Arabidopsis thaliana: one gene and its partner. The protein of the gene in region 2 interacts with the protein of the main gene of each other region in a pairwise test. Each region holds a gene or a part of one and is shown on either strand. Other genes may lie near its edges.

Region 1 (9,275 bases), on a different chromosome or scaffold from region 2:
ACGGAGAGTGAAATCCGGAAGACCTCCGCGTCCGACGAAACCGAAGAATTTCAATGAAGAGAACAACGGCCAAGGATCTCCGTTAATCCAAATTACGCCTCCACCTCCACCACCGCCTCCGTTTAGAGTTCCGCCGCTAAAATATGTCGTGAGTGGTGATTTCGCGAAGATACGGAGTAATCAGAGCTCTAGATGTAGCTCCCCTGAACGGGAAGTGTTCGATATCGGTTGGGGTCTAGAACTCACACAATCTGATGGCGGAGTTGAGACTAAAGCTGCCGTCAGCGGCGGCGGTATGCCGGGATTCTGCCCAAGCCCGGACGTTGATACGAAAGCCGACAATTTCATTGCCAGGCTTAGAGATGAGTGGAGGCTCGATAAGATCAATTCCGTGAATAGAAAGAGGTAACTGGGCTTTTTAAGGCCTATTATTAGGCCCATTACGAAAACGGCGTAGGTTTCAACCTCTTATGCCCTGCAAGGCTGTGCAATGCACAAGGATCTCATACGAGAAACATCTTCAAGGGAAGTCGGTAAAAATTGTTGGAGATATTTTATATTTGATTGGCGAAATTCGTTGTGATTTTAAGCAATGTGCAGCAAGGACTCGAGTTCAAAAGTTACGGGTAATATTGGCATTATTGGTATAGTTATTAGTGGTAAATGGTTTCAAACTGGCTGGTTAGTTTTTTGGGTTTAACCGGTTGAGGGATTTTGCTTTGGTGTGTTTTGATTATTCGGTTTGAACTTTGGAGTGTCAGATGAAAACTCAATAACTTCGGTGTTGAATGTTTTATATTTTGGTTGGTACGCATTGATGTATGTACAATGTATGGCCCATTGATATGAAAATATAGTTGTGGGCTCTGAGTTTTGTTGGGCCTACCTCTTGTGACCTTTCCCTCTCCCTTACAAGCAATTCTTCTTCAAGTTGGTTGATGATTGTCATAATGACTGGTTGTCGTATGTATCTCTAAGAATAAATTCATTTGTGTGTTGAGTGAGATTCTTATAGCTTACTAGTAATATGTATATGATATGTCAACTGAATTCATGTTTTGCAAGGATATCATTACCAGTACCGAATGATGTGACATATCTGATGAGGTTTGAGGTATTGAACTCTCATGATTGTCAAGTGATGGTCTTGAAGCTTATAAACGATCCTCAAAAAAGTGTTTTGATATTTCCATAATTCTTTAGAGTAGCTTGACCTTATTATATAATTCAAAACTTTGGCCTTAGATAATGAGATTCAGGCAGGGAGGTGACGTGTTACTCACGCGCGAGAGCTGCGCGTTCAAATCATAAAAAGCCGACTTGCTATAAAAGCAAACTTGTTGATGATGGTTCAAAATTTCGAAAAGCTTTTCAAATTTCTCTTCATATCGCGCGCTCAGTCAAAAAGCAGAGCCAAAGATGAAGAAACCGTATAAAGGAAAGTTGCCGACGGGAACTCCGTCTCTGGCAATGTCAACACTCGTCGTCGTTGCTTCCCTTCTCGCCGGAGCCTCCGTTGTCCACAACATCTACAAACCAGATCTCGTAAGCTTCACCTTCTCTTTCTGTACATATGTTAGGGTTCTCAAATGTATTAGGTTTGCTCACTTTCTTCGTTCTTGATAATGCCCATAAGCGTGATCGGTTTAAAACCATTCATTTCGTTCTCTGGCTCTGTGATCTCTCTTTTATTGTAATGCACATAAGGTGTTCGATGAATTGCCCATGAGAGATTTGTAATCTGATTGCTTTTTACTTTTGTGCAGAGTTTACCACCGTTGGAAAGTAGTGAAGTGGCCAAGAAGGATGATTCTGTAAACAAAGTTTGAATCTTTCAATAGTTTCATCCTGTTTTATCAGGCTACATTCACTTTGGTTGTTCTCTTTCAATTCATGAGTTAACAAAAAAACATGGATAAAGTTTAAAACTGAGATCACTTATTAAAGGCTTTTATTCTTCTTCCTCTTGTGAAGATGTAAAGAAGAACAAACTCTTTTTAGGTTTCTTGTTGGTCAATTCACCGTTTTTTTTAAAGAGATATAAGAAATCGCGATGATCGTGTAGATGACATAGAGACCAACGAATTGATGGAGTCTTTGCTACGGATTGTGGAAAACCATGTCTTCGATACATATTGGAACTTCAAAAGAGATTTTAGTGATAATCTAGTTAGTATCTCCATCGTTAGATCCATAGGTCCATTAGGCCCAAACGCCCAATCACGTGGCGTGATAAATACGTTAACAATTGCAATATGAAGAAAACACGACAATTAAATATGGAAGAGAGGCTAATTATTCATCGGTCCAATTGCCAATGTCTTTGACTGTAGTTAATAATAAATCATTAAGAGATTTTCGTTTAAAAACAAAAATACACCGTTTCAAGATTAAAAGATAAGTTAATTACAATTGTATTTTTCCTGATTAAAAATCAGATGTTTACAGGGAACCGCAGATCGCTCAGAAAGTGTAGTAAGATGCTCGCAAAAACCATGTGCATGTCCATCAACCTTCGCCGTCTCAATAGCTTACACAAAAATCGTTTTTGTTTTCTTATTAATATAAAACCTAATCTAAATTTACAAATTTGTTTTCTTATTAATATAAAATCTAATCTAAATTTACAAATTTGTATTACACGTACAAGTGGATCCAAGTATCTGACTCTACAGATATTTTGAATCTAACATTTGTGTAATTATAATTTATAATCTCTGAAGCATTTAATTTTACTTACAAATAATGTTAGACCACGAGACAGAAGGTAAACCAATCTTCCTTATCCCAAGATAAGATTCTTCAAATTAAATATAACGGCTTTTTGCAGAAGTAATAAAGATAGAAGGAATATCTAGTATCAACGGAAAAAAAGAAAAAATCTAGAGCACTTCGAAAAATTATGGACCAAAGAAGATTCAGACTGAAATTATTACTGTATTAGTATTTGTCCATTCACAAAATGCCGAGGAAGAAAAAAGGCATTTTGGTTTATATTTTGTTTATTTGATATTCAAATGTCCAACGATCCTCTCTAGCTAAGCTTAGCTATAATTCAATGTTTGAACACGAATCCCATTATTTTAACACAAACAACATTAATTAAATATCGTCTCAAGGAACTTCACTTCCTTGTCCATAAATACGTTATTTCACACCACATATACTCATCTATATCTCTATTTTTCTTCTTCTTCTCTCTCTCGCCGGAAAAAGTAAATCAAAATGATCACCGGCAAAGACATGTACGATGTTTTAGCGGCTATGGTGCCGCTATACGTTGCTATGATATTAGCCTATGGTTCGGTACGGTGGTGGGGGATATTCACACCGGACCAATGTTCCGGTATAAACCGGTTCGTTGCGGTTTTCGCGGTTCCTCTTCTCTCTTTCCATTTCATCTCCTCCAATGATCCTTATGCAATGAATTACCACTTCCTCGCTGCTGATTCTCTTCAGAAAGTCGTTATCCTCGCCGCACTCTTTCTTTGGCAGGCCCGTCTCTTTCAATAATCTCTCTATGCACATAATCTATCTTCATTAAGTGATGGTAGTCTACTAGTAATTGCTATGATGGTCAATTTTTACTCGAAAACATATTGGTTATCGAAAGCTTATAGTATAGTAACTATGTCATTTAACACGGGTAAATATTTTAGTTAACATTTTAGCTCTTTTGTAATATGTGTCTCTAAACACACACATTCTCATGTTTGTGTATATATTGTGATATTATTTTTTAGGCGTTTAGCCGCAGAGGAAGCCTAGAATGGATGATAACGCTCTTTTCACTATCAACACTGCCTAACACGTTGGTAATGGGAATCCCATTGCTTAGGGCGATGTACGGAGACTTCTCCGGTAACCTAATGGTGCAGATCGTGGTGCTTCAGAGCATCATATGGTATACATTAATGCTCTTCTTGTTTGAGTTCCGTGGGGCTAAGCTTCTCATCTCCGAGCAGTTCCCGGAGACGGCTGGTTCAATTACTTCCTTCAGAGTTGACTCTGATGTTATCTCTCTTAATGGCCGTGAACCCCTCCAGGTATGAATTTTTCACTGATGACCTTTTTCATATGTTTGTTCAAATTAACGGACCGGTTAACTCAAGTAAACTAGAAAATGGGTAGTTACTAGTTACGACATGACTACATGTCATTTTGGGATTCCTTTTTGCCTATGTAAATCTATAACAAATTTTGAGTTTTGTCTGAGTTCCTTTTTCAGAAGTCAAAAATAATCTTCAAAGTGACGTGTTACATTATTCACGCAGAATTTAATAATTAGTACAATATAAGAAATATCAAGTTATTAACTATAGTCTAGTTGAATTTTCATTCTTTTTGTACCGATTCGGTTATATCCGGTTTAAATCACATCGACTCGAAATTCATCACCTAAAAATATGGATTTATCTTTCATTAGACCGATGCGGAGATAGGAGACGACGGAAAGCTACACGTGGTGGTTCGAAGATCAAGTGCCGCCTCATCAATGATCTCTTCATTCAACAAATCTCACGGCGGAGGACTTAACTCCTCCATGATAACGCCGCGAGCTTCAAATCTCACCGGCGTAGAGATTTACTCCGTTCAATCGTCACGAGAGCCGACGCCGAGAGCTTCTAGCTTTAATCAGACAGATTTCTACGCAATGTTTAACGCAAGCAAAGCTCCAAGCCCTCGTCACGGTTACACTAATAGCTACGGCGGCGCTGGAGCTGGTCCAGGTGGAGATGTTTACTCACTTCAGTCTTCTAAAGGCGTGACGCCGAGAACGTCAAATTTTGATGAGGAAGTTATGAAGACGGCGAAGAAAGCAGGAAGAGGAGGCAGAAGTATGAGTGGGGAATTATACAACAATAATAGTGGTATGAATTTTTTAATATATATATATATATATATTTATTTTTTATTTATTTTTTTAAAAAAATATATTTTGCTTCTTTATAAATTTAAATAGATATAAGAATCGATTCAGATATTATTATTATTTTCCATCAGTCACCGGTGATTATAAGTGGGATATTATTAGGTTTAAAAAGGTTTAAAAGTTAAGTAAAGAGTTCATCAAATAATTTTGCGTAATTATTTTTTTCTTTTAACAAAATAATAATAATTTAGTATATCACTTCCAAAACTCTTAGGTTTTTAAACTGATTATAGTTTTGGAAAACAAAATATTAATTTTGTATTTTGAAATTTAAATGTGATTTTTTCATTATAATGTAATGTTTTAAAATAAAATTTTCTATAATTTATGGTCAGTTCCGTCGTACCCACCGCCGAACCCAATGTTCACGGGGTCAACGAGTGGAGCAAGTGGAGTCAAGAAAAAGGAAAGTGGTGGCGGAGGAAGCGGTGGCGGAGTAGGAGTAGGAGGACAAAACAAGGAGATGAACATGTTCGTGTGGAGTTCGAGTGCTTCTCCGGTGTCGGAAGCCAACGCGAAGAATGCTATGACCAGAGGTTCTTCCACCGATGTATCCACCGACCCTAAAGTTTCTATTCCTCCTCACGACAACCTCGCTACTAAAGGTTTATTAATCTCCAACTTATTTCATATTTTTTTTTATCATTACTTGCCACGCTTCTATTTTTTTTTTAACTTTTAGGAAAAATGTATAAAGCTCAATATCGGTTCTAAGTTTTTTTTATAGTTTTTTCAAAGTTTCAAAACTTATGAAAACTTTTAAACTAATTAAAGTAGATTTTTATTTGGTTCCGTACGGCTTTCTATAAGTTAGTTTTTTGGTCGAAGAAAGGTCATAATAAATTTAGTTTAGTATTTTCTGTGATATTTAATTATAATTATATTCATACTTGGTGATGACAGCGATGCAGAATCTGATAGAGAACATGTCACCGGGAAGAAAAGGGCATGTGGAAATGGACCAAGACGGTAATAACGGGGGAAAGTCACCTTACATGGGCAAAAAAGGTAGCGACGTGGAAGACGGCGGTCCCGGTCCTAGGAAACAGCAGATGCCGCCGGCGAGTGTGATGACGAGACTAATTCTGATAATGGTTTGGAGAAAACTCATTCGAAACCCTAACACTTACTCTAGTCTCTTTGGCCTTGCTTGGTCCCTTGTCTCTTTCAAGTAAGTACTAATAATAATGTCACAATCATATAACATAACAATATATTTGGGCAATTGCTTGATGTTGTTGATCATTTTATGGGACAGGTGGAATATAAAGATGCCAACGATAATGAGTGGATCGATTTCGATATTATCTGATGCTGGTCTTGGAATGGCTATGTTTAGTCTTGGTATAGTTCCCTTCATATATATATTTAGTTATAGTCTTTGGTGCTTTTTTTTTTGCTAATTATTGATACATATAGGTCTATTTATGGCATTGCAACCAAAGATTATTGCGTGCGGAAAATCAGTAGCAGGGTTTGCGATGGCCGTAAGGTTCTTGACTGGACCAGCCGTGATCGCAGCCACCTCAATAGCAATTGGTATTCGAGGTGATCTCCTCCATATCGCCATCGTTCAGGTGATTACTCTTTAGTCTTATATATATTTCAATCTAACTTACAGTTTGATGTTTTAGCTAGTGATGTTGGGTTTCTTTGAAAAATATAATTGATAAGAATATATATAATTGTATGTTTTGAAGGCTGCTCTTCCTCAAGGAATCGTTCCTTTTGTTTTCGCCAAAGAATATAACGTCCATCCTGATATTCTCAGCACTGCGTAAGTTATTTAAGTTATAAAATATTTAATTTTCATTCTTAAACTTCATTTTAATACTATATATAAGATATTAATTTGGTATTCAAACTATACAAAGTTACAGAGATCTCCTAAGCTAAAAACTTGATATTATTTTTCAGGGTTATATTCGGAATGCTGGTTGCTTTGCCTGTAACAGTACTCTACTACGTTCTTTTGGGGCTTTAAGTTATTATCAAAACGTATTTGCAAATAAAAGGCGATACGACCCAAAGGTGATTTTTTTTCAAACGAAAAAGAATAATTACAAGAACGAAAAAAGACTAATTCCAGGTCAGGCTTAGGTGTATGGGACCATGCAATGTCGCATTAATTAAATTATAGCATATGATAGTCGAAAATTTAGATAACTTTGTATAATTAATTATATGCACATGCATGTACGTGACTTTGTAGTTTTTGTTACATTTATTAAATTTTTGGGATGTGCAAGTACAATTATTTACTATTGATTAGTTTTTTCTATTTATCGATGGTCGTGAAGCATGTTATTAAATTACACTAATATTTCATCATATACTAGTCAAGTATTACTAGATCGCGCAGTCTGTTTAGATTAGATCTTGTGCTTTTCTAAATCTCCATACAATTCTTTATTTTGTTTTGGATCAAATGCACTAATACTTCCACATATAACCTTTTTATTTCATTTCTTTTGTCTTATATATTTATGTTTTTGTTTGTATGTAAAGTTAATTATGAACGTTATTTTTTTTGTTAAAAAATTATGAACGTAATATTCGGTTGAAGCTTGAAGGTAGTCGCATTTTAATTCGATGAGTAAAGAACAATCAAACTTATAATAGAATTTAATTTTCCTTTATTTTAGTATATACTTATCTGTCACCAATAAGATATCACTCGGACTATTTTTGGAGTGATACAAAGAATTTGCGTGGAGAAAGAAACATTTCAAATGAAAGCACTAGTCTAGACAATTGATTGTGTAGTAAGATAGTTGCTGATGATAAGTTTTGCGTTATAGACAAATTGTGCATATCTAACATGTGTGAATATCTTAACGAGTGATCAAACTTTTCAACCAAACTGTCCAAAGTTTTTATGAAATAGAAATTATTTTTCTTCTTTTTCCTTGCGTTTGATTAATTATGAGCTCCTCAAAACGTATCGGTGATCGGCGCTTGAATTTAAGTATGTAAATGTAATGTACTAGAAAAGATGGCTTGGCTCTGGAGGCGTTGACTGTGTAACGTGAAAACGATCACGTGGGGTATCAAAACGATGAGATATACGTTGGAACTCGCTCTTTGGTCGGAACGTAATTGAACGAACAACAACACATGAGAAATTCAATAACAATTCTTCTCTATATAGTTGTCCTGACCTCTGACTTATCTGACAATAGATCTTTTAATAGTTTACACGTAAAAATATTTATTATTCAATGAAGTGCGTAAGAGAAATAGCATATGTATACTAAGGGTAAAAGTATTTATACGTTTTGATGTTTTCAGAAGGTTTTGTGCATTGAGTAGGAGACAACATTTGCTCAGTGACAGCTCTTGTCTCTCTAGGCACCTTACTATTATAATGTCTCATCGTGAATCTTATCTTGTATAACAAATTAATGTTCATATTGTTTCAAGTACATTATAGCACATGTTTATAAACAAACTTGCATAAATACCTTAGAATTTTATCATTTTTGCTAATGCCAAAAATTATCAGTCTCTTACTAAAAGCGATCGAAAATGAATCAGCGTTATGAGCTTCTTTTTTGTTCCATATTGGATCAAATCATCAATTACTAATTAAAAGCAAAATGATACAAATCCTCAATACGTAAGACTAAAACCGGCCCATTTAACAAATTCAGCCCATAAGGCCTAAATCATTTCATGACATTTTGGTTTTGTTTTGGTCTAAAATCATTTTTAAGATTGTTAATTTTTTTGCTCTTCTTATAGTTTATGTTAATTATTATAAGTTGTTTTCTAAACAGTTTCATATAAATTTCATCCTTTTTCAGATGACAAAAAAAACAGTTTCATTAAATTTCAAGATATTCAGCACATATACACCTCCCAAAATTGACAGAAAATAAAAGATACAAGAACATTTGATGACAAGACAAAAGAAAACAAAAACAAAAAAATGAATTGAAAGAGTTGTTGTCAAAAGAAAAGTTGTTTATTTTCAGAGATGAAATTAGAAAAATGGAAACAAGAATCATCGACAAAAACAAAAAGTTGGAATTAGAATCTAATGTAATGTGGAATAATCAAAACTATATAATACAAAAGTTAGCCTAGACTAGACAGCTTCGGAGCCGTAAGGTTCAAGATTCTTGTCATCATCCTTAAGATCACTGAATCTTGACTTCTTCTCCGAGAGAGCAGAAGAAGAAGACGAAGTTTTAAGAGATTGACCTCTCGTGTTAAGGTATGTATATAACGAAGTTCCCATAATCGCCACAAACGCACCGCCAACGCTAATGAAACCACTATTCGACCCGAAAATGTAGTAGTTTCCAAGGAGGAGGACACAAGTCTTGAACTGTCCTAG
Region 2 (8,209 bases):
CTGACAGATGAATCAATTCCATCTACACGAGGTGTCAACACCCTGAGTCCATCCTGAGTCTTGGACACATCAAGCGAGAAGACAAATCTTGTAGTTTTGCTTTCAGATGCAACAAATAAATACTTATGGCTCTCAGAAGCGTGGAGTTCAAGAGAAAACATATCATCCTTCTCATGGTAAAGGCATACATCACTGCTCTGCTCTGTCCCTAATTTATGTAACCAAACCTGTTACAAAGAATATATGAAGATCAGAACATGAAAGCCAAAAATATTGACGTATCTCATAATAAGTACAGTCAAATTTGGTAAGAAAATATGGCATCTATGAGGTGTATAATGTCAACAATTGATCGAAACGGTAAAATCTATATTCATGCAAAAGTTAATCCCTTCCTCCAGTACTATACACTAAGACAGTAGGGTGGGAAAAGATTGAAGGTAAACCTTATCAGGTCGCAGGATTTCGTCCATTGTTATGTAGAGCAAAGCATCATTACCAGCCCATTCAAGATAAGAAGTAAGTCCTTTAAGCTGTTGCCCCACTGGTTTTAGGGCTTCAGAGTCGATGACATTCACTGTATATATCTCATCACCTTTTGTGTCCTCTGCATATGCCACCAATTTATGATCGGGACTCGCCTATAAAAAGAATCAAGAAAATGAAACATCAAGTTAGTAAAGAGCAAGTTTGAAAAGGATATCTCTTAGGACGATTTTTAAAGTCTATTTTCTAGTCAAACCTTGAAGGCCCCAATTCTGTAGTAGTCATGCTCTTGAGCCTTGGTATTCTCATCCAATATCACATGCTCAGGAGGAGCATCTGGACCAGTTGGCATAGTATCATAGACAGAAGGCTCAGCTTTGTTGTCAGTGATCAAACGTCTACAGTGCTGAATATATTCCTTTCCTTGAAGATTTTTCTCATAATAATAGTAAGGACCCTTGCGTAGAGGTGCAGATATATCATCTTCTTTGATCCTCCCTCTTATTTCAGCAAACAGCTGATTCTCAAATTGCTTGGTCCCTGAATTTTTATTTTCCAGTCTAATTTATCACAAGCTTGCATAATCAACAAGTCACTAATACTCCAAATTGAAAACAAGGAAAGCTAAAAACCCTAATCCCCTAAGTATCACAACGTCACTGACAGAGGCAACTTGAAAAGACTCACCAGACATGACGAAATCAGTGTAGTGATTTTCTTCACGAAGATAAGAAAGCATGTCGGGATTGGTGCGAGAATCGTCACGGAGCCAGTAGTAATTGTCAACCCTAACGTCACCGAACATCTCCATCACATGCTCCACCTTCTTCGCTACAGGAGGGGATCTCGATTCCGCCATGTCTCTCGGTGATGTCAACCGCACTGACGCAGCTCCGGTTTCAGAGGAAGAGGAAAAAGAAGAAGACAGCCGTAGAATAGAGCGGCGGCGAGGAACAAGAGGAACGAGGCAAGAGAGAGGAGTATCGAAGTGGAGAAGACGACTACGAGTCGCGAGAAAGTGAGTGCCGAGAGATACGAGTCCACGCCTTATTATCATATTACGTGTCCGTTTTAGTTGCCTAGAGACTCGCGACCAGTTTGTTAATAGAGGACAGGTCATATCCGGTTTGGATAAACCGGCCTATCTATGATTCCGGTTACAAAATTATTAACTCTTTCGTGAATTTTTGCTAGGATTATTGAACAAAACCAAATAATTAGATTAGAAACAAATTACTGTTGAATGTTGATTAATGGTCTTCTATGTTCTTGTAGTGGACTATTTTTGAGCTTGATGAATTTTATAAGCCTGAGATTAACCCAGAACCTAATCAAACCGTGCTAAACTGCAAATAAGCTGAGATGATAAAAATTGGTCTTGCTTACAGAACAAAGATGAAACAAAACAAGAAAGAAAGCACGTATAATAATAACATCCAGAAGAGGTTCAGGTTAAAGTGCATCAAAACCACTAAAATTACCAAAGTGACATTCACTTTCACAAGAAAATGTTTCCAAAATGGAAAAAGGAAAAAAAAAACAATGGAAGTGTAAACAACATCAGAAGATATACCTTGAAAGAACATAAGCCAATGGCAATCATGATAATGGCTAACTTGATAAGAGCAATACGAGACTAATAATGATGTAGGATCATCATCATGAATCACAGGAAATAAGGAACACCTGTCCTTGGCCCTCTCATTTGATTGTTCTCTTCTGTCTCCGTGAAGAACTTCACTTCCCTTTCCTGGTAATTAAGCATATTTTAACAAATCATTACTGTCAGTGAGGACCAGATCCTAAACACTTCCCAGAAACAGGTCTATATATGAAAAGTAACACACAGAGCACAATCAATATGGACAGACTGATTCCACGCGAACTGTGAATTGTTACTAAATAAATGGCTTAAACATCATAACTCTATCTCACAAGAGTCACTCATGTGTATATGTTTGGGTCGAGAGACAAGTATCAAAGGCAGTAACTTATTTAATCAAAAAGGAAAAGTAGAATCCGAAGACGAGTGCATAAAAGTAAGAAGAACATGAAACAAGATATTGTGGCAGATCAGTAACAAAAGAGAAAACAAATGCCTCACCATGTTGTCATTGAAACTCAATATAGAAGCCACATTCCCACAACGGTAGCAGTAATTAGGCGCAGACCACACCTTTACAAAAAAAATAAAGAGAAGAAACATCACCAAGCAGATTATACTTCCAACTATCCAAAATGATCATAAGGAAGCAAGGCACTTACAGTTACAAGACCTTTATCTTGGAACATGTACTTGAGACCTTCTTGTACAAGCTGGTGAGCGCGACATACTAGATCAAGATTGTTAATATGGTTAAACTGCACAAGAAGCAAAACCACAGATCAGGGAACTGAAATACATTTATTTCTTTTCACACCTTATTCAAATTTCAACCCCAGAAAAAAATATAAATACCTCAGTGGTAACCCTGGACCCGAAAAGCCAACCAGCTCCACGTGGACTGACAGCCCATGTTTCAATATCTTCAGGATCACTCCACATAAGATCACAGAAGGGTCCTTCATGCGGTATTTCGCAATTCCGCTCAATCAATCTTATCTAGAGAACAAAATAACATCTAAATGAGTAAATGAGATTTAATCTAATCATAAATAACACTTGCATGGTGAAAACCAAAAGTAATTTAAAATAGCACATTTTAACCTGGTCAATTGTCCGTACATCAGGTGAAAGGCCACCATGAACACATAGAACCTACATTGAGGATGCAATACGTTTTAATATGGTATACAGCTAACTTATGCATTCATAAAATTATACAAGAACACATCATAACACAATGCCAAAGAAGCTGAGAAATACTTACAGTGCCATCTATAATAGCTGAAAGTGTAAGATAGTCAAAAACATCCGTGCAATATCTCCAAGCATTAGCATTACCATACTTCCTTTGGCATTCGTCATAGAAACCATACACCTAGCAAATATAAAATTGGTACGACAATTTAAGAAAACTATAAAAATGAACCTGCAGGGCACAAAATATCACTACAATCTTCGTCCTTGACAGTGGATGTTAAAAGATATAGGATATGGTGTAGGATAGAGATAAATCAAGAGCTTCCGAGAAGAAAACTTATGGTTGCAAAGGGTTCACATAAAATGCATCTTAGTTAACATCTATGCCTATATCTAGCATGGCATTGCCACATGTACAAAATAAACTTTCAAAACTAGTTATAACAATTGAGCGAAAATTACTTCTCAACCAGTAACTGCGTGAAGAGCACAGCAAGTCAGCAACAATAGATATAAATGGATTAGAATAATGCATACCTGAGTTAGCTGTCTACTTTCATGATTTCCACGCAAAAGAGTGATATTGGCTGGATGTCTACATATTGAAATACAAGGAAACGAGTGATTTTAAGCTCACAGCAAAGTAAGTTAGAATATAAATTTCCTGGAATACAAGTTAAATCGATTTTCCAGTAGAGCAATGCGTTTACAGCTTAAAGAGCATTCTCAAGAGAACTATGATATACAGTGTGAAACGGAAGGATGACGATCCATGACATATATAACGCACAATTTCTACGGAAAATCTTACCTTGCTTTAAGAAGCAAAAGAATGGTGAAAACTTCAAGACTGTTGTAACCTCTATCAACGAAATCCCCCTGAGAAAATCCCCCACAGATAATTAAACTATGTGTTACATATTGATATGTCATACGAGCCTACGCCCAAAGTCAGAGTCTATACCATAAATATGTAATTGGTCTCGGGAACATGACCTCCGGTCTGGAAAAGTTTCATAAGATCATGAAACTGGCCATGGATATCACCACAGACGGTGACAGGACTGTTGACAGGTTGTACATTTGATTCCTCAATAAGAATTTCTTTCACCTATATAATAGTCAAAATATCTTGTGAATTACCAGAGTATCTTAGCAAATCATTGTCATGAAAAAAGAAGAAGACGGCTGCTACTACAAGTTTCAACACTAAAATTACTATAATAAATCCTCAAATAACAGTTTGCAAGCGTGGACTTGGTGCATCCATAAATTGGCTAAAGAAGAGCTAAACTTATCCCTAATTCCTTAGAATTTAGAATTGAAATAGCAAAGTCAATAAATCCTCTATTGGAAAAATGAGAGAAAAACCCTAAAATCCGTAGACCAAAATGGCAAAGGAAACAGTAAGGGAGAGAGACCAGATTCAAAGTAAAGTGCCACAAAGCAAGCTCTAAAGTCTCAAAAGAGTAAGCGAAGAATTGGGTTTTTGTAGATGCATGAATATTCGGGGAAGAGAAAGCAAGCAAGAGAAGAAAGAAGAAAGAAGAAGAAGGCGTACGTATTCGCAGAGAAGTTGAAGCTCGTCCTCAGAGAGATGTTGGCCGTCTTTAACCTTGGAAATCCATTGATCTAAATCCATGGCGGCCTTTTATTATCCTCTCTGTCTCTCTCTTTCGGTGGTGAAGTGGAAATTGGTGCTGTTTCTTCGATTTCAATGGTGAGTCTCGACGATCTCTGGTGAAGAATTGAAAGAAAGATAGATCTAGCAGAGCATTGCTCCGTCCGCTTAGGGTTACGTAAGGGGGAAAGAGGGAGAGAGAGAGAAAGGGGAAACACAACGAACCAAACAATCTCGACCCGAACCCGATTTGGTCTTCCTCCATCCCCAAACTCTATTCGTTGGATATTTATTTTTAATCATTTTTTTGGCAACATATTAAACATCAATTTAATTTTTATCTATTACTTCATTACACAAATCTTTAATGGAGTATACTACACATTTTCAATGTTTTTGCAATTCTTTTCTTGGTAATTTTATTTGTCTACTTGAATGTGACAATTGATAACACCTAAATAAAATTCCACAAATACTTAAACCTTCTTTATAGTATTTTTTCTTCTTTTTAATTTTTTTAAAAAAACACATTTCGATATATGTGTTGTTGAATTTGAGTAAGACCTTTTTGATAATTAAAAACTCCTAAAAAAAATTATTTAAAAGTCTTGTTAAACAAATTGTGTCTAAAGACACATTTCGAAATCTATGTGATGTTGAACTTTTGAGGAAGGTTGTTTGTGGGAGACCGTACGGGATATGTTAGAAATGAATCAATGATCTTGGATAGGCATTAGCAATACGATCGTTCAAGAGCGAACCTCACTCGATTCATTTCAATGTTTATGTTTGGGTCTTCCCATTTGGCTTCTGGTTAGGGATAATTTGAGAAGGAAAAGTATTGTTATGATGACCTCTAAAAATGACAAAATGGAATTTGTCTCACCAAAAAATCTCCAATGTTCAAATTACATCCGAAAAAATCACTAGTCGGAGGGCCAAATATTACGGAAAGTATATATTGGTGTTGGTTTGGTTTATACTTGGTCGAGAGGTGATCCGAAACTTAGTTCCACTTAAAAAAGTGATGCATCGCAAAGGTAATTCGAAATTTAAATTGTGAAGAGTTTACTCAGCTGCAAGAATAGAAATGATTTTTCTCAGACATGTTCATTTCGGGTTTGGGCTGGATTGAGTTTTTTTTTAACCCACGACAACATTCCAAGAAAGATCACTTGTTGAAGAGGGATTCCACCAACTGACCATCTGATACAAGTGCATGATTTATCATATGTAATTTTATCCATCAAATTATCTAAATTTTTGTAGAGTCTAAGTCGAGATATCACTGAAATCGGCCAAAAAAACTAGTAGTTAAATAGTTTTTAAAATACACATTGTCCAAACACGATAAAGATTTTTTAAACTCAAAACAATCTTGTATAAAATCTATACAATTTTTTTTTCCCTTTCTAACTCCATATGTTTACAAACAAACAAACTTGTAAGGAAATTTATATTATTATCATAGTTTACCACCTTGTAGTTATTTCTCGCTATGTCCATTTTAATTAGCTTGATAAAAAACTTAACTATTTAAGAAATATAAATATTGATTTGTTTTTGCAACGACTATTTATATTCAAATACAGCAATGGTTCACTGGACTTTGGAATCCTTGACAAATAGATATACTGTATAATATAAAAATTATTTACTGAATTTGCCAATAGATTTGGGTGGCAAATGAAAAACATGACTCTTTCAGTCCCAAGGAGCCTTCTCACTTCTAGCAGCAAAGCCAAAAACCGTAGTTACATCAAACGTGTAGAAAAGGAGACGTGCGTCTCAAGAAAAGGAAGTAACCATTAATACCTAGTACTCCTCAACCTCCCCCACCAATTCATCTTCACCTTCTCCGCTGAACCACCTGTTTCTTCACTCCCAAGTTTGCTAAGTATCAGTTTCGTTTCCCTTAGTCTCCCTCCATAATCTTTCTTCCATGTCTCAAACATCTGTTTCAGCCTTCGTAGCTCCCGGTCCGGATTCAAGTTTGCTTCCACCTGACCAGATTTCACTTCCATCAAGAACTTTCTGTCGTCACCAAATACCTGAGCTCTTTGTCCAAATTCCTCAGCTAACCGGCTTATCACGCTTAAACCCACGCCTACACTTCTTGACCTGCCATGGCCCATTTGGTAATGACTACCTCCTGAATCTAAATCTGTTGCATCGCTTGCATTCACCGATGCATCCGAGTTTCTCGCTGAGTCCTCAACCTCTAGGCTTTTCTTTGCGATGGAAAGACTGGATTGCAAAGATTTCATCTGCTTTTGCCAAATTTCTTCCATGGATTTCATCTTTGTTTCATATTCAGACCACCGGTTATCGTACTGCTGGACTCTTTGTCGGAGGATGTCGTTCTCCTCTTCTTTCTCACGAAGAGCAGCTTCGGTTCTAAGAACCCTACGCTGAAGATCGGAAAGATATGATGCCTTCACTAGCACCTCGTCTGACTCATTTCTCTACATAAAGAATTGGTTTAAGAGTCTAGCAATATGCATATATATCATGTAGTCAAATGCACGAAGAGAATGAAAGCTTTGAGAGGACCTTGGTGCCACCAGAACTAAGCCATCCAATATCCCCCGCACATCTTCTAACCAGCTCTCCACGAATTGCTACAGAAAAAGGTTTCAGCATTTCTTGAAACTTCTATTTTTTAAAAATATATTTTGAGGTTTAATTTGTTTCAATCATGAGAATTAATCAACCCTATTTTACCTGATTGTATTACAGCAGATGCATCAACTGTGGCTTTATACTGTTGGCTAGCAATCCTTCTCTTAACATGGCTTTGTATAGCAGCAGAAGCTCGATGCCTCTGCAGTAACTCCGTGTATTCCTTTCTCATCTTTTCTCCACGAACAACTGAAACAGAAGGATGTGTGAGGTATGGTTTCTAACGACATAACAAATACAAACCAAGATATTGAAATGAGACAAGGGGCAATACATGATTGAAGAATAGTAATTCCGGTTTTAAGCTCTTTTAGACGACAGCGAGCTTGGTGCCCTCTAAAATAACTTTGAAGACGTAAAATGCCATGCAGAGTGCGATTCCTTGTATCTTCAAGAACCCCAATCTGCAATGGTGAAGCAAGTATACTGCAGTAAGAATGTCTAATTTGTGGCCCCTAAAGTCAAGACATCAGACGACTAGTTATAGTACCTGGCCAGTTCTGAAAAACAATTTTGTGTAGCCAACTTGGTACATCTCTGGCAAGATATTAAACTGATGGAGAATTGCAACCGAAACACTTAGAGGATCTTTTGCTGCAATGTTCTCCAGCAGAAGG

Evidence for each region. The genes of interacting proteins can lie anywhere in the genome.
Region 1: the proteins of FYPP1 (region 2) and EIR1 interact in a protein complementation assay, tested with the Arabidopsis thaliana proteins (one study listed by BioGRID).

What each region holds. Positions count from the first base shown.
Region 1 is NC_003076.8:23,097,540-23,106,814, forward strand, and holds EIR1 (Auxin efflux carrier family protein), read left to right. Parts: upstream 1-2,976; 5' UTR 2,977-3,225; coding exon 3,226-3,495; exon of another isoform or gene 3,496-3,646; intron 3,647-3,743; coding exon 3,744-4,046; intron 4,047-4,426; coding exon 4,427-4,871; intron 4,872-5,268; coding exon 5,269-5,538; intron 5,539-5,836; coding exon 5,837-6,104; intron 6,105-6,191; coding exon 6,192-6,277; intron 6,278-6,352; coding exon 6,353-6,510; intron 6,511-6,633; coding exon 6,634-6,710; intron 6,711-6,850; coding exon 6,851-6,917; 3' UTR 6,918-7,689; downstream 7,690-9,275. Other genes in the region: AT5G57070 (hydroxyproline-rich glycoprotein family protein), read left to right, coding at 1-409; AT5G57080 (uncharacterized protein), read left to right, coding at 1,420-1,545, 1,767-1,829; AT5G57100 (Nucleotide/sugar transporter family protein), read right to left, coding at 9,024-9,275. UniProt on the Arabidopsis thaliana protein: Acts as a component of the auxin efflux carrier. Seems to be involved in the root-specific auxin transport, and mediates the root gravitropism. Its particular localization suggests a role in the translocation of auxin towards the elongation zone.
Region 2 is NC_003070.9:18,655,616-18,663,824, reverse strand, and holds FYPP1 (Calcineurin-like metallo-phosphoesterase superfamily protein), read right to left. Parts: upstream 5,318-8,209; 5' UTR 4,932-5,317; coding exon 4,851-4,931; intron 4,401-4,850; coding exon 4,254-4,400; intron 4,169-4,253; coding exon 4,101-4,168; intron 3,885-4,100; coding exon 3,827-3,884; intron 3,468-3,826; coding exon 3,357-3,467; intron 3,245-3,356; coding exon 3,194-3,244; intron 3,089-3,193; coding exon 2,945-3,088; intron 2,848-2,944; coding exon 2,752-2,847; intron 2,663-2,751; coding exon 2,591-2,662; intron 2,237-2,590; coding exon 2,153-2,236; 3' UTR 1,773-2,152; downstream 1-1,772. Other genes in the region: AT1G50380 (Prolyl oligopeptidase family protein), read right to left, coding at 1-227, 447-641, 743-1,026, 1,174-1,543; VIIIA (P-loop containing nucleoside triphosphate hydrolases superfamily protein), read right to left, coding at 6,719-7,375, 7,464-7,531, 7,635-7,781, 7,867-7,996, 8,083-8,209. UniProt on the Arabidopsis thaliana protein: Catalytic subunit of protein phosphatase 6 (PP6). Dephosphorylates phosphorylated phytochromes, with a preference toward Pfr forms.